2 linked regions of the Ovis aries genome follow. The protein of the gene in region 1 purifies or fractionates together with the protein of each later gene. This does not show direct contact. Links are inferred from orthologs where the notes say so. Each region holds a gene or a part of one and is shown in the gene's direction. Other genes may lie near its edges.

Region 1 (3,654 bases):
GTTTGTACACTGGGGAGAAAGATTCTGGGTCTTAAAAAAATTGATACTGAGTTTGATTTTACTATAAAAATTAAATGTATACTTTAAAGAATATATTTGAACAACTGAGTACTATTACTGATTAAACGTTATGAGCTATTGAAATTTTGAGGGAGGAACTCAAAAATAGAAATTAAGAACTCTATAGTGGAATGTTTAATGGGAGAGCTTTTTGTTTAATGGGTTTTGTCATGTATAATTTAAATAAAGAGAGGGTGACCACACAGTCATGCAGCCGGTACCTGAACAACCTTTTGTTGCTGTGGCTTTTTCAGTAGTATAGAAAACCTGTTTGTTTTAGAAAGTTTTCTGAAGAACTTATGCTTAGTAAAGATGATTTGGAAGAATGGAGAAATATTTGTACCACTGATTTATTTTTTGCTTTTTTTGTTTTTCCCTGTGTGCGAGGTTGTCACTTTTTGTTTTAATAGCATAGTAACAATCATATTACATATTGATGTCTCTTATCAGTTCCTTTTATGTAATTTTATAAACTTTGGTTTTTAAGGTGTTGCTTCATGAAAATATACAGTAGTTTATTTATTGGTTATCAGGTTTATTCCTACTTTTTAAAAATTAAATTTACTGTAGCTCAGCTTTTCTATATTTGATTTATCACAACTTTTAAGGCATAATTAATATATGAGGAGTGAAAGTGTTAGTTGCTTTAGTCATGTCTTGACTCTTTGTGACCCCATAGACTAGCCCGCCTTGCTCCTCTGTCCTTGGAATTCTCCAGGAAACAATACTGGAGTGGTTAGTCCTTCTTTTCTCCAGGGGATCTTACTGACCCAGGGATAGAACCACAGTCTCCGGCTTTGCAGGCCGATTCTTTACTCTCTGAGCCACTAGAGACACCATAGTTGACATATATGGAGCAGTAAACATTACTCATCTCTTTACAATCTCTGAAGACAGCTTCAAATAATTTACTGTTTTCTTTTCAGGTTATAGTTATGAGTGCTACTCTGGATGCAGGAAAATTCCAGATTTACTTTGATAACTGTCCTCTCTTAACTATTCCTGGGCGTACACATCCTGTTGAGATCTTTTATACTCCTGAACCAGAGAGAGATTATCTTGAAGCGGCAATTCGAACCGTGATCCAAATTCACATGTGTGAAGAGGAGGAAGGAGATCTACTACTTTTCTTAACTGGTCAAGAGGTATTGTCGTTACTTGGTTCCTTATTTATATTATTTCTATTAGGCAACACCTTTAAACTTAGGAACCCAACATACATTAACCATGTATTTCTCATCCCAGTGTCTAGAAAGTTTTTCTTCAGCATGATTGTATTTATATATGAAATATATAACTCCCTGTATGTACTCTAGGAATATACCCTTTTATGCTGTTAACATTTGTGTTCTAGTTGATATCCTGAGAATATTAAATGCTTTTAGAATTTCAGGATTTAGCAGTTTTAATCTCAACTTTGGAGAGACCCGAGTGGCAAGTGATTTTGTGCTAATTTGCCATTCTGCTGAGCCATGAATGAAATCTGGTTACTCTAGGCAGTAATTTAGTTTGTAAGGGAATTTGTATAACTCAGGTGCCCATCTACCATCAAAACAAGTGTTTGTGTTTTGTTTTTGTCTTCCTACATGTGTTTATTGAGAATTGGAAGGAATCACTGAAATTCTTTAGACTTTACATCATTTTTAAGATAGGGATTTTATTCTCACATGCAGCATTTTCTAAACTCATTTCCATCAGGATGTTTACAGGTGGGCTATGAAATTTTTGATGGCTTAAATAAGTTCAGTGAGTTATCTGGATAAAAGAAACTCTTTTAGAGGTTTTCTGAAAGTTTGTCATTTGTTGTGATAGGCTTTGTGAATTTTCTGCAGTGTCCTTCTCAAACTAATATACATGCCAGTCATTTGGAAATCTTGCAGATTTTTATTCGCTAGGTCAGATATAGGGTCTGATCTGAGAGTCTGTTTCTAGAACAGTGCTACTCCATTAGAACTTTCTTTACATGTGGAAATGTTTTTATGTCTATACTGTTCAATATAGTTGTTGCTGTTCAGTTGCTCAGCCATGTCTGATTCTTTGCAACCCATTGGAATGCAGCACACCAGCCTTCCCTGTCCTTCACTATCTCCCTGAGTTTGCTCAGACTCACATACATTAAGTCAATGATGCCATCCAACCATCTCATCCTCTGTAGCCCCTTTCTCCTGCTCTCAGTCTTTTGCAAGTATCAGGGTCTTTTCCAGTGAGTTAGCTCCTCTTCACATCAGGAGGCCAAAGTTGGAGCTTCAGCATCAGCCCTTCCAGTGAAAAATCAGGATTGATTTGCCTTTAGGATTGACTGGTTTGATCTCCTTGCAGTCCAAGAGACTCTCAAGAGTCTTCTCCAACACCACAATTCAAAAGCATCAGTTCTTTGGTGCTCAGCTTTGTTTATACTCCAACTCTCACATCCATACATGCCTACTGAAAAAACCGTAGCTTTGACTAGATGGACCTTTGTCAGCAAAGTAATGTCTCTGCTTTTTAGTATGCTGTCTAGGTTTGTCATAGCTTTTCTTCCAAGGAGCAAGCATTTTTTAATTTCATGGCTGCAGTCACCATCTGCAGTGATTTTGGAGTCCCCCCAAATAAAGTCTGTCACTGTTTTCATTGTTTCCCCATCTATTTGCCATGAAGTAATGAAACTAGATGCCACACTATTAGTTTTTGTAGCTGCAACAATATAATGAACTTGAGTATTTGCATTGCAGCTAGTGAGAGGAGGAACTAAAATTTAATTTTATAGAATTTTAATTAATTTAGTTACATGTGCTTGACCCTCTTGTTTTAGTTTTTACATATTTTAAGAACTGTTTTTACATATTTTAGTTTTAGTTTTTACATATTTTAAGGGTTTATATGAAAACAAAGAATATGCTTCAGAGGTGGTGTATGGATGGAAAGCAAAGAATATGCTTCAGAGGTGGTATATGGATGGAAAGCCTAAAAAATTTTGGCCCTTTATAGTAAGAAATCTGATCCCTGCTCTAGAACATTTTTTTTTCAAGTGTGGTCAGTGGATTGCCTGCCTTGGGTAGGGGAATTTGTTAAAGCAAGTTCTTGGCCCTGTTTCAGGCTTGCTGAAACAGATGAAATTTACAGATGAAATACTGTAAGAATCTGCATCCTTGCTGCTGCTGCTAAGTCGCTTCAGTCGTGTCCACCTCTGTGCCACCCCATAGATGGCACCCCACCAGGCTCCTCCTTCACTGGGATTCTCCAGGCAAGAACACTGGAGTGGATTGCCATTTCCTTTTCCAGTGCATGAAAGTGAAAGTGAAGCCACTCAGTCATGTCCGACTCTTAGCGACCCCATGGACTGCAGCCCACCAGGCTCCTCCATCCATGGGATTTTCCAGGCAAGAGTACTGGAGTGGAGTGCCATTACCTTCTCTTTTGTGTCTTTAACAAGCTCTAAAGGCCATTTTTCTGTTCTCTTAGGTTAAAAGTCACTGTTCCAGTTGAATGTTTTAGCTATTTTAATGCCCATGGTACATTAGTGACACCACCCTAAACAGTATAGTGGGAAATTGCCCTAGTTCTTTCACATAATCAAAATCAGTGGTCTGCTATGTGACCGCCTAACCTCCAGGA
Region 2 (3,654 bases), on another chromosome or scaffold:
ATCATTTTGTTATGCTCAATTAGATTAAAATCCATCCATGTGTTTTGCGCTCTGAGTGAATCTTTTACCCATGCATGATTGGTAGCATCTTCGTTCCCTAAGCAGGGTTCAAACCTGCACTCCCTTCATTGGAAGGCTCAGTCTTAGCCACTGGGCTGCCAGGGAAATCCTTAGGGAGCATTTTTAAGATAGAGTAGTTATTATGCAATCTTAAATCTTAAGGTTATTCACAAATATTACAAAATAATTGTGAACCAACAAGTCCTTTTTTGTCAATAATACCATGAGTTCCTTTACGTTTTGCTCATTCAGTCCTGATAACACTTCTATGGGGTGTTCTCTTTTAATACTATCTTTGTTTATTGATTAATTGACTGTGTCCTTTCCAGAATCACACAGTGGAAATAGATCCATGATTTAGTTTGAGACTGCAGTGCCCATTATAATACTTCTTACCACCAGCCTGAATCCAAGAGTTGGATTTCTCCATTTAGTAACTTTGTGATACTGGGCATGTTATTTAGCCATTCCAGTCCCTAGTGTCCTCATCAGTAATAGCATTTACTTTATTGAATTGTGAGAACTAAATGAAATATATTTTGTAAAACAGACTTCAGTATGCCTAGCACATAGCAAGTATACATTAAGTGTTCTCTTCTTTATCTGCTTATTTACTACCACTGTTCGTCTTTTCTCTTTTAAATATTCCTTCTTTTTTTGGTCATTTACTTTTTTCTCTTTTTGTTTTTTCCCTTCCCTCTTTTTGTTGCATTCTTTAATAGTATGTATTTCATGTTATATCACTAGTTAAGTATTTCACTAGTTAAGTAGATAATGCAAATAGGATATATTGTTGCATATTTATTAGACTGTTCATTTCAGAAAGAAAGGAAGTTAAAGAAAGGTCTGCATGTCTACTTTAAATATGTGGAATAAAATTAAAACACCATATTTTACATACACTATGTGTTGTGTAGAATTTCATTTATTGATTCCAATATCCTGAATCTTTCATGTTATATTCAAAAAATGTCCTGTTAGAATCCAGAATGGTTTATCTTTCAGCCGAAGAAGAGGATGGAGCACACCATTCTTCAGAAAGTAAAGATGATCAGAGTTCATCTCCCAACAGCTCTAGGACTCTGGAGGACGAGTTTTCATCAGTAGGTCAGTAATATTTGTAATTTTGGTTAAGAATTTTATTTCTAATATTAGTATTTTTCTATACCAGTGATTCTTGTTTTTGATAAAACTCTAGTGAAGTATGGGGCAAGTAAGTTATTTCTAATTATTGTCAAGGGACCAAAATTGGCTGTCACTTCCATTATATAACATGCCCAAGGTCAGATGGGCTTATAATAGGCAGCACTAGGATTCCAACCTGGGGAATCTGCTGCAGAGCCTATGTCCTTTTTGTTTTGTTTTGTTTCGGGTTTATTTACTTATTTTATTTTATAATAGCAGTTTTCTTATTATGTCCCACAATTTTGTGGGTCAAGAATTTGGGCAGAGCTTAACAGAGATTAAACTGTGTTCCATGTGGCATTAGCTGAGCAGTTTGACTGGGGCTAGAGAAGGGGTCTTGCCTTTATACATCTCAGGTTCAGCATAATGTTTACCTGAGCATAGTTAATGATCTATAAATGCTGAAAAAATTAATGATAGAGAGCTGAGTTCCACTCCTCACTCTGCTTTTAAATAGCTGAGTTAGTCTAAAAGGATATTGAACTACTCTGGGCCCTGGCTGCCTCAGAGCCTGAATTCTTAACCATTGTGCTCTACTGAGTGGTTCATGCCATCTTTCAGTGTCTGAAAGATGGTAAGAATTTGTGTATGAGGATGTTTCAGGTACAGGATGCGCATTATATAAAAACCTAGGGAAGATAACCAGAGTAATGTGCAGAGAGCTAAAAAGTAGTTGTTGGGCTGAAAATTCTTGGTTAAGTTTTAAGAAAGAAGGAAAAAAAGAAAGTAAGATACAGATTGAAGTCAGATAATCCAGGGTTTTGAGGAAACTACTGAAAACTTTATGCAAATAGATGACATGACCATTTTTGTGTCTTAGATAATTCCATTCAAGGGTTGACAAATTACCACCTGTTTGCCAAATCTGGCCCACTATCTGCTTTTGTGAATAAAGTTTTATTAAAGCCATGCTCATTCAATTATGTATTTTCTGTGGATGCTTTTGCACTACAATGGCAGAGCTGAGAAGTCATAACAGACTTTATGGCCCAAAAAGCCGGAAATATTTCCTTGGCCTACTCTAATTCAAGGTTCTTAACTTCTCTTGTGCTGTGGACTGTCTTCAGTCTCATAAAGCCTAAGACCCCTTCTGAGCAAAACAAAATGTATAGCTTTATAAAGAAAACAAGTTAATTTGAAGTATAATTATTAGTACATATTTTTAAAGATTTATAATATAGTAGCAAGTGCTTTGTTAACATATGAAATAACAATAACCAGAAGTTCTTGTAATTATTTTTCTTAAACAAGTTCATTAAGCTACATAAGTACTTAGTGATGAAGCCAGTATTAAGAATTGAAGTCTAGTAAACAAGTAAAGTTTTGTCCAGACTCTAGATACGGTGCTGTCCAGTAAAACTTTCTATGAAGGTCCTGTATCTTCACCATCCAGTACATTATCCACTAGCTACACATGGCAGTAAAATTCTTGGAATGTGGCTAGTGTGACTAAGGAACTCGGTTTTTAGTTTGCTTAAATAATCACACGTGGCTGGTGGTTACTGTATTTAACATGCTGCTATGGCATGATTAGACAGGGTAAGGTAGTACTTGTAAAGTGTTGGTAGCACTGGGAACCTAAGGAGAGAAGGCAGAGTTTGGAAATGTATTGGATAATTTTTGATTATCCAACACGTAGTCCCTAAGGTGTTATTGCAAGATGAAAACTTGCCTTGTAAGGAACATTTTATTTTTTCTTTTATTCTGGAGAGGAAAGAAGAAATGAGATAAGTTTAAGGAAGTATATAGAAGATACAGTGCGTTTATTTTTGTTGTTGTTGTTGTTCAGATGATACATCTATTAGAATGATCCTGTACTGGAATGTCTGCCTTGAGATATTCATTGTTGCAGAGACTGCTTACCAATGGGGCATAGTATTAACCTCTGTTTTTTTAAATAGAAGTACAGTTGACTTACAGTATTAGTTTCAGGTGTACAGCAAACTGATTGAGTTATATATATATTTTTTCAGATTATTTTTGCATTTAAGTTATTTTAAGATATTGCATATAGTTCCCTGTGCTGTACAGTAAGTCTTTATTGCTTATCTGTTTTATATATAGTAGTTTGTTCAATCTCATACTCGTAATTTATTTCTCCCTGACACCCTTTCCCCTCTGGTAAATATATGTTTTTTTCCTACGTCTGTGAGTCTTTTTTTTTGTCGTTCTGTTCTTGCCTCCTTTGTCAAGATTAATTGACAGTAGGTGTGTGGTTTTATTTCTGGGCTCTACTGTAGCTCTGTAGTATTATCTGAAGTCTGGGAGAGTTGTGTTTCCAGCTTTCTTCTTTATCCTCAGGATTGCTTTGGCAGTTCTTGTGGTTCCTTATAAATTTTAGGATTATTTGTTCTAGTTCTATGAAAAACGTCATTGGTAATTTGATAAGAGATTGCATCAAATTTGAAG

The links.
Region 2: the proteins of DHX15 (region 1) and GCFC2 purify together in Homo sapiens (co-immunoprecipitation; 3 studies listed by BioGRID and IntAct, with this or other methods). This does not show direct contact. The link is inferred for Ovis aries from reciprocal best matches to the Homo sapiens genes DHX15 and GCFC2.

What each region holds. Positions count from the first base shown.
Region 1 is NC_056059.1:44,726,872-44,730,525, reverse strand, and holds part of DHX15 (ATP-dependent RNA helicase DHX15), read left to right. Parts: intron 1-986; coding exon 987-1,205; intron 1,206-3,654.
Region 2 is NC_056056.1:62,826,473-62,830,126, reverse strand, and holds part of GCFC2 (intron Large complex component GCFC2), read left to right. Parts: intron 1-1,041; coding exon 1,042-1,167; intron 1,168-3,654.